Linked DNA regions of Drosophila melanogaster. The gene in region 1 interacts genetically with each later gene. Each region holds a gene or a part of one and is shown in the gene's direction. Other genes may lie near its edges. The genes, in order: Sod2, Adck1, Sdhaf3 and p38b.

Evidence for each region.
Region 2: of Sod2 (region 1) and Adck1, changing one suppresses a phenotype caused by changing the other (phenotypic suppression), as found in Drosophila melanogaster (one study listed by BioGRID).
Region 3: of Sod2 (region 1) and Sdhaf3, changing one suppresses a phenotype caused by changing the other (phenotypic suppression), as found in Drosophila melanogaster (one study listed by BioGRID).
Region 4: of Sod2 (region 1) and p38b, changing one suppresses a phenotype caused by changing the other (phenotypic suppression), as found in Drosophila melanogaster (one study listed by BioGRID).

Annotation. Positions count from the first base shown.
Region 1 is NT_033778.4:16,772,260-16,775,772, reverse strand, and holds Sod2 (superoxide dismutase 2 (Mn)), read left to right. Parts: upstream 1-1,857; 5' UTR 1,858-1,983; coding exon 1,984-2,018; intron 2,019-2,134; coding exon 2,135-2,753; 3' UTR 2,754-2,988; downstream 2,989-3,513. Other genes in the region: Arp53D (Actin-related protein 53D), read right to left, coding at 223-1,370, 1,424-1,511. UniProt on the Drosophila melanogaster protein: Destroys superoxide anion radicals which are normally produced within the cells and which are toxic to biological systems.
Region 2 is NT_033778.4:24,609,706-24,614,464, forward strand, and holds Adck1 (aarF domain containing kinase 1), read left to right. Parts: upstream 1-1,997; 5' UTR 1,998-2,117; exon of another isoform or gene 2,118-2,139; intron 2,140-2,176; exon of another isoform or gene 2,177-2,461; 5' UTR 2,462-2,469; coding exon 2,470-3,582; intron 3,583-3,645; coding exon 3,646-3,741; intron 3,742-3,802; coding exon 3,803-4,150; 3' UTR 4,151-4,201; downstream 4,202-4,759. Other genes in the region: CG42360 (uncharacterized protein), read left to right, coding at 1-250, 311-532, 592-796; CG4741 (uncharacterized protein), read right to left, coding at 1,255-1,577, 4,209-4,266, 4,328-4,570. UniProt on the Drosophila melanogaster protein: Essential for maintaining mitochondrial cristae formation and mitochondrial function by acting via YME1L to regulate the mitochondrial structural proteins Opa1 and Mitofilin. This function is likely to be kinase-independent.
Region 3 is NT_033777.3:16,481,341-16,484,412, reverse strand, and holds Sdhaf3 (succinate dehydrogenase assembly factor 3), read left to right. Parts: upstream 1-1,960; 5' UTR 1,961-2,051; coding exon 2,052-2,133; intron 2,134-2,199; coding exon 2,200-2,309; intron 2,310-2,365; coding exon 2,366-2,536; 3' UTR 2,537-2,552; downstream 2,553-3,072. Other genes in the region: Der-2 (Derlin-2), read left to right, coding at 459-545, 630-1,150, 1,207-1,384; Dhfr (dihydrofolate reductase), read right to left, coding at 2,554-3,022. UniProt on the Drosophila melanogaster protein: Plays an essential role in the assembly of succinate dehydrogenase (SDH), an enzyme complex (also referred to as respiratory complex II) that is a component of both the tricarboxylic acid (TCA) cycle and the mitochondrial electron transport chain, and which couples the oxidation of succinate to fumarate with the reduction of ubiquinone (coenzyme Q) to ubiquinol.
Region 4 is NT_033779.5:13,779,008-13,783,137, forward strand, and holds p38b (p38b MAP kinase), read left to right. Parts: upstream 1-1,681; 5' UTR 1,682-1,757; intron 1,758-1,859; 5' UTR 1,860-1,992; coding exon 1,993-3,090; 3' UTR 3,091-3,602; downstream 3,603-4,130. Other genes in the region: CG9008 (uncharacterized protein), read right to left, coding at 638-725; CG16890 (uncharacterized protein), read right to left, coding at 3,603-3,938, 3,990-4,130.

The DNA of each region.
Region 1 (3,513 bases):
GCTAGTTAATCTGGCGGTTAGTTTAGATAGTGTTGCATTTGTGCTGTTAGAAGGGCGTTACATGGGCCTTGTGCTTCCCAAATGCAACTAATTTTTGTGTAGGTAACCCCCAGTTTTGTTTATTTTATATCGACTAGATTTGTTTAAGAAATTACATTCATTAGCAAATAGAAAATATATAATAATCATTGCTCATAACGAATATTTGAACACCCTCCTTAACTAAAAACACTTTCGATGGACTATGGCGGAACCAACTTCTTCGTACTCCAAGCTGTCGATCCACATGTTTTGGAAGCTCGTGAGTGAGGCCAAGACGGAACCACCCGTCCAAACGGAGAATCTGCGGTCTGGACTAGCGTTAACCTTGATTCGGATGGATGGTGGAGCCATTTCGGTTAGGTCTTGCAGGAATCTATGCTCGATGTTACGAAACATGGTCGTACCGCCAGAGAGAACAATGTTCGCATACATATCCTTTCGCAGATCCATGTCGCAGTTGGTTATCGAGTGATGGGTGGCCTCGTGGATGCCCATCACCTCCTGACCCAGCAAACTGGGTTGGAAGAGAGCCTCCGGGCAGCGGAATCTCTCGCAGCCCAAAACGATTTTCTGCCCATCTGGCAGCTCATAGGTTTCCACCTTTCCGTGGAGATCCATTTCCTTGGCATAGTTCATTGACACATAGCAGAGTTTCTCCTTGATTTCACGCACGATTTCCCGTTCAGCAGAGGTGCCCATTGTAACGCCCCTCTCCAGAAGCAGCTTGCATAGATAATCGGTGAGGTCCCTGCCGGCCAGATCAACTCGTACACAGGCGTGGGGCAGGGCAAATCCTTCGTAGATCGGTACCGTGTGCGTCACACCATCACCCGAGTCCACCACAATGCCCACAGTACGCCCGGTGGCGTAAAGTGAGAGCACAGCCTGAACTGCTACATAAAAAGCTGGCACCTGAAAGTGTTCGAACATAATCTCTGTCATCTTCTCTCTATTCTTCTTCGGATTCAGTGGGGCTTCGGTGAGTAGAGCCGGCAAATCCATTGGATCCGCCCGCAAGAGCTCGTACGTGTGCTGCCAAACCATCTCCATTTCATCCCAGTTCTTGACCATTCCGTGCTCGATGGGATACTTTAGGGTTAGTATTCCCCTTTTTCGGGCTGCCGCCTCGCCAATAACACTATCACCGATCACGGAATCCAGCAGGACGTTCAGGTGACGAGGTCTGCCCACAATCGACGGGAAGACAGCACGGGGAGTATCTTCTGGGGAGAATCCAGCCTTACATACTCCAGAGCCGTTGTCAATAACCACTGCGGCGTGGTGTGAATTACTATCTACCTCGCTGCTCATGTTTCCAGGAGAGGTTGCTGAACGAATCATGGTCAAATCATAAAATCTTTAGCTTATTTAAGCAACTTACGTAAATGTAGATATTTGTGAAGAATGTTCTGTGCCCGTTTATTTGTTATATCGATTTTGATTCGGGAAGGTATTTGAAATGTAGACATGTTGTGTGCTGTGTTCCAGTCGGATTTTTAAACTTATGACGTTAATTTCATGGTTTATTTCCAATTTAGCGCCATGACATACAGAGGCCAAAAATCGATTAATTCAAGTATCAATCGAATGGATGCAGTCGATACGTAAGCAGCTAAAATATGCTAATAGTCACTAAAGTAGTATTTAAACATAAGAAATATTTAAGAAATCCTCAATATGATTTGAATATGTTTCAGTGCAATGTTTCAATTAAAAATAGTTTTTAATTTCTTTTAGTTTTACTATTTAACTTCAATATATATAAGTTGATCTCACATCACTGACTGATTGGGGTCTTTCGATATTTTCTCATCTGCTCATCTCTAGCAGTAAATTGTTCAAATAGAACAAGCGAAATAACGAGAACGTAAGCCTTGTTTTATTTGATATAAAATCTGATATCGGGACTTAGCCTTATTAGCAGTCGAATAAAACGCAGATATGTTCGTGGCCCGTAAAATTTCGCAAACTGCAAGGTAAGTTGCGAAAAAAAGTATGCCCAAATCGATGCCGGCTGATTACATAAATAGCAACAAATGGCGACCCTGATCTTGAGGACATTATAAAACAAGACACACTTAACCCTTTGCAGCCTGGCGGTGCGTGGCAAGCACACCCTACCGAAGCTGCCCTACGACTATGCCGCCCTGGAGCCTATCATCTGCCGGGAGATCATGGAGCTGCATCACCAGAAGCACCACCAGACCTACGTCAACAATCTAAATGCCGCCGAGGAGCAGCTGGAGGAGGCCAAGTCGAAGAGCGACACCACCAAGCTGATTCAGCTGGCTCCTGCCCTGCGTTTCAATGGCGGTGGCCACATCAACCACACCATCTTCTGGCAGAACCTCTCGCCCAACAAGACCCAGCCCAGCGATGATCTGAAGAAGGCCATCGAGTCGCAGTGGAAGAGCCTCGAGGAGTTCAAAAAGGAGCTGACCACGCTGACCGTGGCGGTCCAGGGCTCCGGCTGGGGCTGGCTGGGCTTCAACAAGAAGTCGGGCAAACTGCAACTGGCCGCCCTGCCCAACCAGGATCCCCTGGAGGCCTCCACCGGCCTGATCCCGCTCTTCGGCATCGATGTCTGGGAGCACGCCTACTATCTGCAGTACAAGAACGTGCGTCCCTCCTACGTGGAGGCCATCTGGGACATCGCCAACTGGGATGACATCTCGTGCCGCTTCCAGGAGGCCAAGAAGCTCGGTTGCTAAGCACAGCCGGCGATTGCGTATGTTTAATCTATAAGCATCTGCGGATCGGAGATCCTAAATTGTAGTCTAAGTTGCGGCTAATAAATTGGTACCAGCTAGCAACTAATTTTTATAATTTTTATGAATGGGAATAAAACAATTTAAAACATAATTTCCGAAGATAACGCTTCACAAAGGCGTATTGAAACTATTACTTCATTGAGGAATTAAAAAATATACATATACCTATTCATATTTTTTATTTTTATCAATTTTATTACGCTCCAAAAAAATTAATTTTTATATTAAATTAAAATATCGCAAATACTGTAAATGTTTTACAACACTGCCGCCCATGGTGCCATCTCTAGCAAATCAGCTGTGCGCGAGCCAAACAAAAACAAAACAAAAGTCAGCCTGCCGCGAAATCGGGGGAGGAAAATTGACATTTCCACCGAGTTTTCCCGAACTTGCGTGCGCGCAGCTGCAAACAATTTTCCAGCACGCGTATCCGAATGGTGGAACAAATGGCCAGCCGCTGGCAGAGTCGTTTGTTGCCTGTTCGCGTAATGGCCATCCTCGAAAATCGCCCGGAGTTTTGAAATCGAGAGACCAGTACGAAACAAAGGAAAATCATTTAATTTCCTGAGGGCGGTGACGAATGAAAAACATACAAAATAAACCACTTGAGTGCAATAATAATTTAATAAAGAACTGTGATTGTGAGTGTGTGAGGAGAACTGTTGACGCCCATCAAGGAATTTAACTTCTAAACTTCTAA
Region 2 (4,759 bases), 7.8 Mb from region 1:
TCATCCCGATACCATCGTACTCGCCGCCGTTTCGGGAAGGAGAGAAGCAGAGAAGGGCTAGGCCTGCGAAAACGCCCAATAAGAAGACTGCTCGAATGAATGACAGCTTCTTCACCACTGAAGAAAAGAAGAAGCTCGGAGACTATAACACCAACACATTTAATCCCACGGAGGAAGCAGGAGAGGCGAGTAATAAGCCGAAAACGAATAAGAGGTTTGTTATCATCGATGGTAGCAATGTCGCCTTTGCGTAAGTTCTCTGCTTAAAGCTAACTCTAGACGGACTATTTATTTCATTTTCATTTGACAGTCATGGCAACTCAAACGTGTTTTCATCAGAGGGAATAAAGTATTGCTTGCAGTATTTTGAGAAAATGGGTCACGAAGTTAAGGCTGTGGTTCCAATGTTCCGGAAAAACAACTTCAAGTCTTCGAATCCCGAGCTTCTCGATAAGCTGCACAAGGAAGGGAAGATTGTGTTTACGCCGTGCAAAAACATTCCCGGTCAAATTACGTCTAGCTACGATGATCGGTGAGCTCCTTAGAAAAAACTTCTATTTAGAAATGGAAATGCATAATTTTTTTTTTCAGTTTCATTTTGCAGCTGGCATACGAAAAGAATGCCGCCGTGGTTTCCAACGACAACTACAGAGACCTGATTAATGAAAATCCTGCATTTAAATTGATCGTTGAGAATCGAGTTCTTGGTTACTCCTGGTGCGACAACATATTCATTTTACCCAAGGATCCTTACGGCCGCTGGGGACCTACCCTCGACGAAATTTTGAGGTGCTAATGCACCTAGCCATATATTTGTTTTCAAATTATTCTTTAGTTTCGTGTTATATCTTAAGTTAGTAGTTTTCATTTAGTTTGGTTGCGAATTATTCAACTTTCTTTTCCTTTACAATTAGCGTTAAGTTGGTCAATACTGAAGAGTTAATACGCAGCGTTTACTCATTTTATTAGCATATAGCATATAGTTTTCGACCAGAAGGGTTTTCATATGCCTACTATTTTAAAAATCTTGCAAAATTACGAAGTTCATTATTTACATATAATTTTCGACCAGAAAAATTTTTTAATATGCACTATACGTTTATTTATTTATTTACTCCAATGGGGTTTATAAGTTATGCAAAATTAAAGAGTTGCCGAGGAGCAAGATTTATTTACAAAGGCAAAGCTGTACAGTGTCTTGTTTAGTGTATAAATAATAATAGATTTACTATTTCTCAGAAGTCCAATGCTTTGTTACACCACTGGTGGTTGGCCGTTGACCAAAAATACGGTGGTGGTGGTGGAAGTGGTGGTTGTGGCCACGTTCGCCTCGTAAACCGGCGGTGGTTCGTTAATTCCAACCGCCAAATTGGGATTGCTCGCTTCCAAGCTGGTGGCTATGGTCAGTGTGCTGTCCTGCTTTCGCTCGCTAAAAGCGGCCTCGTCGTAGCTGGGCGGCAAATCCAAGGTCTTGGGCAGGACACTAACTTCGTTCTGGCTGTTTGAGCACACGTTTCCGACTCCTCCGGAGCCGCCGTTGCAATTGTTCGTCACATTGATCTCCATTTGGCGACGGGCTGCGAAAAAAGAGATTTAAATCGTAGTGGACAAGGAAACCTCAGAGAATCTCTTTAAAAACGGAAGTTAGCAACTATATCTTTTAAATATACGTCTAAATCGCTGCGTTCTGTTAACCGATACCTGCTAATATTGGTATTCCTTTATATATAGCGTAACATGTTCTGTTAACCGTTAAATGTTACCCGCTTTTAAAGCAGAAAAAGCAACCAGCCTTCCACAGGGGGGTCGGGTCTCACTAATGACTTTCAACATACTGTTCGAGTCGTTCTTTATTTTAAACGACATTTATAATAACGTTTTTCATGCTGATTAAAAAGCCGTTATATTATGGTAAGAGCACTCAACCCCCTTATGCCAAAACAACTACGCCCTTGAGCTCTGCTATTGGGTCAGCTGCTCTGACGCCAGGCCAACAGCTGATTGCGCCAACTAAGGCCACCACAGAAGTGGAAGCGCATCAATTTAATCACAGACTTTGGAATTTCAACACCTACGCGCCGTTGAACTCCGGCGCTATCTGTAGTGCACCATATCGAGTAAGTGAAACTATTGGCAGTCATTCCGAGCGAGCCGCGACTCACCTTCAGTCAGTTGTGTTTACATAATGGCGCAGACGAAATTACTGAGGTGAAAGTTTAGCTACATGTGAGCGCTGGAAAATGTAAATGGGAAAAATGTAAATGAAAATGCTGGCGGAGATGCAACAGGTTAAGTGGGCTGTATTCGCCAAAAATCAGTTAGCGGAGGGCAAAGTTCAAAGTGCCTCAGTGCCTTGGTTCCGCGTAAAACTACGCGCTTAATTTAGGTGAAAGCCCAAAGGTTAATCGGCATTGACACCTGTTGTTTTTGCACACCGGACTAAACGCTCTTCATTTTGCAGCCGGAGGAATGCTGTTGCGTCGCGTTCTGGGCTACGGAGTAGTCGGCGCCGGACTGGCCTCCGCCGGCTGGAGCCTGCACACCAACGACTACGATCCCAACTCACTCGGAATCGTCCGGCTGTCGCGATCCGCCGCCGCCGTCGTGGACGTGGCACTCACCTACAAGCGGGAACTTTACTACAAGGAATGGGATAAGGAGACGCCCGAGTACAAGGCGGAAAAGAGCCGGGTCCACAAGATAGCCGCCGAGAAGCTACTTCAGCTGATCTGCATAAACAAGGGTGTCTACATCAAGGTGGGCCAGCACATAGGGGCCTTGGAGTACCTGCTACCCAAGGAGTTTGTGCAGACCATGAAGGTACTTCACTCCGATGCGCCGCAAAACCCCATTGAGGACCTGTATAAGGTAATCCGACAGGATCTGCACTGCAATCCGGAAGAAATCTTCGACAGCTTCGAGAGGGAGCCGCTGGGAACTGCTTCCCTTGCCCAGGTACATAAGGCGCGCCTCAAGACCGGCGAGCTGGTGGCCGTGAAGGTGCAACATCCCTACGTTAAGGGTAACTCCCGCGTTGACATGAAGACCATGGAACTGGCCGTTAATGTGCTGGCTCGGATATTTCCCGACTTCAAGATCCACTGGCTGGTTGAGGAGTCTAAAAAGAACTTGCCAATCGAACTCGATTTCCTAAACGAGGGACGTAACGCCGAGAAAGTAGCCAAGCAGTTCAAGAAGTACTCGTGGCTTCGGGTGCCCAAGATATACTGGAAATATAGCTCTTCTCGAGTCCTAGTCATGGAGTACCTGGAGGGTGGGCATGTCACGGACTTGGACTACATACGGCGAAACAAAATTGACTCATTTGCGGTGGCCAATCGCATTGGGCAGCTCTACTCCGAGATGATCTTCCGCACCGGTTTCGTGCACAGCGATCCGCATCCAGGAAACATCTTGGTAAGACGCACGCCGGAAAACAGTCTGGAGATAGTTCTGCTGGATCACGGGCTGTATGCAAATCTGACGGACAAGTTTCGGTACGATTATTCCAATCTCTGGCTGAGTATCCTTAAGGTGGACCGCAAAGCGATGCGACAACACAGTGAGCAGCTGGGAATTAAGGTATTTTCGCTTGGGAGGTGGATTTGAACCTAAACCTTCTAACCTTCTAAACCTTCAATCCAGGGCGATCTGTACGGTCTTTTCGCATGCATGGTGACGGGACGACCTTGGGAGACGGTGATGCAGGGCCTGACCAAAGTCAAATATTCCAAAGAAGAGGTAAGTTCGTGCCGGAAATTCTTCTCTTCAATTACTCGTAGTATATGCTTTGATTCTGCAGAAGAACACGCTGCAAAACAACACGTCCCTGGTGCTGCCGCACATTTCCGACGTATTGGAGCAGGTGGACCGTCAGATGCTGCTCATTCTGAAGACAAATGACTTGATCCGCGGAATTGAGTCCACGCTGCGCACGCAGAACCGGATGACCGCCTTCTGGGTTATGTCCAAGTGCTGTGTTCAATCTTCGTACGCTGAACAGCGAGCCAAGCAGTCTGATTCCGGATCCTCGCGAATCCTGTGGCTGCGGGTGCGCGAGCGATGGGAGCTTTTCAAGCTCAACTGCTACTACCTCTACCTGGGACTGATTAATTTTGGTTTCCTTGAAGCTCTCAAGCAGGTTATTTAGACTAAACGGTGTCCCCCAATTAAAAGTACAAAACTCTTCACGAGGAAAGGGAAATTACCTCGTTGTCTCTGCTGGGCCAGATTCCGCACATTGGTCTCTCGCTTGCGTTTGGCGCTCTTCGGGGAGAGAGTGAATCATTAGCAGGAGCAGGTAGTGTCCCATTCCGAATGGGCTTACCATAATCATGGCCAGAGGAAAGGCGATGACGAAGAGGAAGACCAGCACAATGTAAATGACATAGCTGGGATAAAATAACATGTATGGACCATCGTAGCCGCCACCGTTGATCCAAATTGTGACGGAAGTGGTGTTAACGTATTCCCAATCCGATGTCGTACTTTCAGTGGTGTTAAGTGTTCCGTTGGCCACCGTGGTGGAGTCAAAAGGGGTGCTGACCGTCGCGTTTATGGCAGGGGCCATGTTGAACTCGGGTGTTAATTCCTGATTGGAACTGAAAAATGTCTCGAAGACAGCAGTTCTCTGACGAACAGACAGAGCCGACTAACCTGAACTACTGGCCACCGAATTGATAGGACATCCGGGCATGGGTCAGACTCGGGGCTGACAGCGAAGAACGCACATATTTGCTTTGTAATCATTAGCTGATAA
Region 3 (3,072 bases), on another chromosome or scaffold:
TATGGATTTCAAAGTGAAAATCATATTGAACTTATCTGTTATTATAAATATTATTTCCATTCAAATATTGGATGAACTACTCTTCGATAGACGACACAATCTTAAGTTCTTCCTTCTGTTAACCACATAAATAAAATTAATTTAAAGTTTCGTGTCACGATTACGGCTTATCGATATCTGGCGCCAGTGTCACTAGTATTTGTACCATCACTAACCTTGGTCATAAAAATAAAAGCTAGCGTTCCATTTATTTTCCATCGCCCGAGCGCTGTTCCCTATCCATTAACACGTCTCAATCCTGGAGTGCACAACATCCGGTGAGAGGACTACCAAAAAGAGATAGTCCGCCGCTGGTTGTAGGTGAATAAACAGTGAAGAAGCGAAGAGTCCAAAGGATACAATCGCAACCCACTTGCCAAGCTGCACACTTTGAGTCCAACGTTGGAGGAGGAGCCGCCATGAATGCCCTGCGGCAGTTCTACCTGGAGATCCCGGTGGTCACACGAGCCTACACCACGGTCTGCGTGCTGACCACCTTGGCGGTGGTAAGTGTATCCCGTAGTGCGTTCTAAATCGCGGATGACGTGTACGTGTATTATCTTCGATTATATTTTTTGCCAACTTTTAAGCACCTGGACCTGGTGTCGCCGCTGCAGCTCTACTTCAATCCCACGCTGATTGTGCGCAAGTTCCAGATCTGGCGCTTGGCCACCACATTCCTGTACTTTGGCACAATAGGCATCAGTTTCTTTTTCAATATGGTGTTTACATATCGATATTGTCGAATGTTGGAGGACGGATCTTTCCGCGGACGCAGCTCCGACTTTGTCATGATGTTCATCTTTGGCGGCGTGCTAATGACCTTCTTCGGAATCTTCGTCAACCTGTTGTTCCTGGGCCAGGCCTTCACATTAATGCTGGTCTATGTGTGGTCACGACGCAATCCACTGGTGCCAATGAATTTCTTCGGGGTGCTTAACTTCCAGGCGCCGTACCTTCCGTGGGTGCTCCTCTGCTGCTCCATGATTCTGGGAAACACCGTGTGGGTGGATGTCATCGGCATGGGTGTTGGCCACATCTACTACGTGCTGGAGGACGTCTATCCTACACTGTCCAACGGCTACAGACTGATCAAAACCCCCTACTTTTTGTGAGTTTACTTTGAATTGGGATATAACTTTTGCAATAACGACTTGTTGTCCTTAGGAAACGTCTCTTCAATGAGCACATCGAACGCAACTTCCAGGCGGCTGCTGAGGATCGACCTGGCGGATTTCCTTGGGGCGGAGAGGGTCAGCCCCTGCTACCGGAAGAGATTGCGGCTGATGGACAGGATGAGGAGCCAGCGAATCGAGCGGCGCCTGTTGCTGCCGCGCCGCAATAGCAAAACTAGAAAACTTGATTGTTAAAACGTTCTTCTGTTCAAAACGACGACGATGACAACAATGTTGTGTACCCTCCGCCACCTTCTGTTTGGTGCTTGGTGTAATTAGGCGTATAGTAGTGAGAGAAAGGCGTGCAATAGTTAGCCAAAGTTGGTGCAGAGCGTGTGTGTATGTCATTTATTGGTTTGTTTTCTGAAACAGAGCTCATTTTCCATACGAGATGTTCTTTTATTTATAATTTACCCCCAAGGGATGAATCCACGACAGATTGAACCTACACTGCACATGTGATGATTATATATATACAAACCATGCCACAAATAAATCATTATATAAAAAGACCTGCAGTTTTAAAATGCTTGAAATCGCTTGGGGATTGATAAAAAAAAACCATTTGAAAAAAACATTTTCTTTTTACATTATTTGGTTTGCGGAAGTGTGGTTCAATTCGAAGTGCCTAACTTAAATATAATATGAAAATAGCATTGAACTTTTAAAGGTGACAATTCAAATGCGCGCCAAACTTTTAATACGTTGCCACCTGCCAACTCAATTTGACGTTAGCCAACACTGGCTGCGACAAAACAGTTGTTATTCGCTCGTATTTAGTTTTTAGCCGGCTGCTAAATAGTATAGTATTAGTATGTTATATGATATGAACTCAGGATGTCCAGAATTTTGATGAGCCAACTGACCCACCCTCAGAGGGTCCGACTGCTGTACAAAACGATCTTGCGACTGCACAGAGGTAAGATGAAAAATTCCCTATTACTATAAATTGCATGCATTTCAACTAAACTTCTGTACTCCGTAGGACTTCCAGCGGAACTTCGTGCTCTGGGCGATAACTATGTGCGGGACGAGTTCCGGCGACACCTCAAGTGCAATCCCATGGAGGCACAGCTCTTTATGACAGAGTGGGCCGTAAGTTTTACGTAATAAACAAAAAGGCGCCATACTAAGCAAATCTTCCATTGCAGCGATATGCGTCCACAATCACCCAACAACTAGGGATTCGGGGCAAGCCCAAGGGAGAGCTGGGCGAAGAGATTGACCCCAAGACTGTAGAAATGTTGAAAGACGACCAAGTAGTCCAACTATACGAGCTGATGCTGGCGGCCAAGGGAGTAGAAGATGCGCAAGGCAAATAAATCAGTGTATTATTTTATTATGAGTGTTTCTCCAAAATCTTGTACTCGAATTTAATGCCATTCTCCTCCTGCACACCCAGTGGCATGTCGGAATCGGGCGCGACCTCTCGAAAGCTGTCAGGGATCGCGGGGAAAAAGGTGTCGCAATCGAACTTCTGCATTATTTTGGTAATGTACAGCCGGTGACACCTTGGCGAGGCCATGGCCTCCTCGTAGACTCCACTACCGCCCACAATCCAAATGTTCTCCACTTCGTTCTGCTCCTCAAGGATCTTCATGGCCGTCTCGAGATTGGGGCACAATAGTACTCCCTTGGGCAGATCACTTTCCTGAAGTGTGGTGCTCAGCACTATGTTCAGCCGATCGGGAAGAGGCCTCTTGCTTTCCGGCACTCCGAAGTAGGTTTTCCTGCCCATTACCACGGCATTTTGCTTGGTGGGATCACTTGTTCGCTTGGTGGTGCGGCTGAAGTACTTCAGCTCAGATCTGATGGTACAAAAGCTTTAGCTGCGGTTCAATCCTTGTTACCAACTTAC
Region 4 (4,130 bases), on another chromosome or scaffold:
CTCTGGCCGTCTGACTGTTGCTCAAACGGCTGCGACTTGGAAAGCAACGTGGGCAGCCCAGACACAGGCAGTCGTAATTGTTGAAAGTACGCTGGGTACACCAGTGCCAGCTCACATACATACATATGTACATAGGTGCTCATAGAGAGGGACCTGTATACATATATGTACGAACCATATACATATATATGACGCCTAATCGAAATGTGCTGCGAGTAGGAGCCGCATCGATCCGATCTCCAAGATCCAAACTCCAAGCTCTAAGCTTTTCCAAAACCGAAACCCAACTGATCCCCAGCGATTGGATCGAGTGGGGGCATATATGTACATATAGCGCCTAAATTGCGACGATCTCGGCTGATAAGATAGCAAAGGCCCTCTGGCTGGTGCGTAGAACAGCGAAAGGTAAAAACAAGGTTATTTCCAGAACGAATTGATAACCTCCAGAGGTCGCGAATACATCGAGAATAGGGGGCGAAACGGGTTTCGGTTTCGGAAGAGTCTAAGCGCCAATCATCCGCTAAAAATAACGCCAACAAAATTTTGGCAAAGTGCTGGTGGTGTCTTCTTAATTATGATTAATTGTTCGCCAGCTATTCATTTGTTGTTTATCATTGTTTCAAGACATTCTGCTCACCGTGCAAGTTGATGGTGCAGGTTGTATTGTTTCCGCGATCCAGAACAACTACACTCGTTGCGGCCATTGCGGCCGCTGTCGTGGCCATTTTGAATTTTCCTAACGGTAAAGGTATATCCGGGGGATCGTTTGAGATCCTGTGTATGTTTGTGTGCGTGCCTGCCTACTGAGGGAGTATATCTTTGAAAAATTGGGTACGAAAAGAAACTGTAGCTCCGTGGCACTTAAAGCAAGGCGATCTGGTTTCGTACTCAAAACGGGCGTCGATTGAACTTTAATTTGCGCATTTACATAATGTTTGCAAAAATTATTCTGCACACAAAGCACCGCACTCACACAGACGCGCCAGCACACACACACTCACTCGCACACACACATACACACGCACGCACAGAGCGCAGCTTGAGTTTTTGTCAATGAACAAATACGTATGGAAAAAACTCGTGCAAAAAACGTTCGGGCGAAAAGCGTCACGACCCGGACCTTCGATGTTCTGCCAACGAGCGACCGATTGAAACTAAACCAGCTTGCGCCAACTGACCGCCTTCTGTTACCGGCCCATGTTAAGCTTTAAAATTAGCTTTATGTCCATGGTCGACGAGGGAGTACTCTACCTTAAAATTATATTTTTAACGTATAACTAAGTATTTACTGAAGTGGATGATATTACCACATTATTCACGAGTTTATGGTTTCATATAAGTTCATTTTTTGCTTTAATTAATGCATTTTTAATTTAAATATTTCTTATTCTCAAAGGTGTGATAATAAAGAATACATACATAGAACTCTCCAAATAATATTGAAAGTATTTAAATTGTAATATAATCTTAAAAACTTTAATCAAAATTGCATATAAAAATCTAATTATTATTATTGTTTGTGACGATCATGTACTCTGTCAACCAAACTGCGCAGAAGCTTTGTGAATTGATCCGCTGCCTCGATGGACTCTGATTTTTGTAGGGGACACCCTAAAGCCAACCATGTTAACGCATAAACGAGCAGCAGCTGATTGGAAATCGGACCCATTTGCGGTTATCGATAGCCAAGACAGCGTTGTTGTCCAATCAGAAAAGGTGTAGGCGCAGCGGAATAGCATAAATAAAATCCGAGAGATGTAAGTTGCAACTTATTTGTGCAGATACAAATGAATCTGGGCAGGAATACCCGAAATTAGCTACGTTTTCCCGTAATACCCGGTACGATTACTCATTTCCAGCAATGTTGAGGCCGCGAAGTGTGGAACAGAGATAACTAATCCCACAAGCAAGAAGAAGAACTGCCCAAAAAAAGAGCCAGCGGATTAATAACATTATAGCACCGCACCTGAGCGTACAGAACATCCCAACGAAATGTCGCGCAAAATGGCCAAATTCTACAAGCTGGACATCAATCGCACCGAGTGGGAAATCCCGGAAACATACCAGAACCTGCAACCCGTGGGTCAGGGTGCCTACGGCCAGGTCTGCAAGGCCGTGGTCCGCGGAACCAGCACGAAGGTGGCCATCAAGAAGCTTGCCAGGCCCTTCCAGTCGGCGGTCCATGCGAAGCGCACCTATCGGGAACTGCGGCTGCTGAAGCACATGGATCACGAGAACGTTATTGGTCTGCTGGATGTCTTTCATCCAGGACAGCCCGCCGATTCGCTGGATCAGTTCCAGCAAGTGTACATGGTGACCCACTTGATGGACGCCGATCTGAACAACATAATACGCACGCAGAAACTGTCTGATGATCATGTCCAGTTTCTGGTCTACCAAATCCTGCGCGGTCTGAAGTACATCCACAGCGCTGGGGTCATCCATCGTGATCTAAAGCCATCGAACATTGCGGTAAACGAGGACTGTGAGCTTCGCATCCTGGATTTCGGTTTGGCCCGTCCCGCAGAAAGCGAGATGACCGGATACGTCGCAACGCGATGGTACCGGGCGCCTGAGATCATGCTCAACTGGATGCACTACAACCAGACGGCGGACATCTGGTCGGTGGGCTGCATCATGGCTGAGCTGCTGACTGGGCGCACGCTGTTCCCTGGAACCGATCACATCCATCAGCTGAACCTCATCATGGAAGTGCTGGGCACGCCAGCTGATGAGTTCATGAGCCGCATCTCCTCGGAGAGCGCTAGAAACTATATTCGTTCACTGCCGGTGATGCCGCGCCGCAATTTCCGCGACATCTTCCGCGGTGCCAATCCGCTGGCCATCGATTTGCTGGAGAAGATGCTGGAACTTGACGCCGACAAGCGCATAACCGCCGAGCAGGCGCTGGCCCATCCGTACATGGAGAAGTACCACGATCCAACCGATGAGCAGACCGCCGCGCTCTACGACCAGAGCTTCGAGGAGAACGAGCTGCCGGTGGAGAAGTGGCGGGAGATGGTCTTCAGCGAGGTGACGGCCTTCAAGCCCACAGCCGCCTTCGCTGAGCTCCTGCCCAAAGAGCAGTAATCCCGGCCGCCATCCCTCTCCGTTCAATGATGCTATATACAATTAGAACAGTCTTTTCTACACCTAGTTCAAGCGGATGCGCTCAGTCGTGATTTCTCTACTCGTCGAGTGTAAACAATCGGGGATATTTATTCTAGAGCGATTTATATTTAGAAACTCTTCAGTGGCTGGATTTCAACAATTTGTTTTGACCACAAACGTAAGGTGAAATAGTATTGTATTTTCGAACCTTCGATTTGCATTCGATGGATATAGAAATAGCGATTGAACTAGGTGCATGCCTGAAATGTAGCCATTCGGAAATGTTTCCAAAAATCAATCAGAGTCACAGCCTTAATGTCCAGTTCAACTTTAGATTTGGTGTCGGTTTTAACACGCAGTTCTTGTGAATAATCCTGTAAATGTGAGTGTACATGTACATCGTAGTTCGTAAGCGAACGCATCTAGCGGCCAGTAACTATAAAAAAGAGCACTAGTGTCTACGTTGAATCCAAATAAATGTGCTATGTATTTTAAAAAATGAGATCCTCTAGATATCGCTCGAATTCCTGCTCTCTGGAGGCTTGCTCTCGGCTTATATCGGGTTGTTGTTGCCAGATCTGTTCGTCTGCCGTGGTGGCATCCTTTGAGTCTGTGGGCTCCTTGCTGGCTTCTGGATGGGATTCGGATGCTGGTTCGACAGGCTCCTCCTCCTCTTCGCCAGAACTTTCGTGACCAACATCGAGTTTTCGACGCTTACGTTTCTTTTCAGCGCGCCGTTCCTCCTTTTCCCTGCGTCTCCGCTTCTTGCATTCTCTCTTCTTGGTGCGGTAGTTCAGCTGATCCGTGTGGGTGGGACACAGCCGCACCTATGGAATTCCCATTAGTGACACAATCGCGGAAACCCATTTGGAACCCACCTTGACCAGCGCATTTAGGGGCTCACCCTTTTCGATATACCTAAAGTTTACCTCCCAGCTGCGCAGATTATCCCGCTCCCCGCAATGCCGGCTGCCGCACTGGAACTGCCCGGTTCCGGTGACCACCTCCTGCTCCGTTCG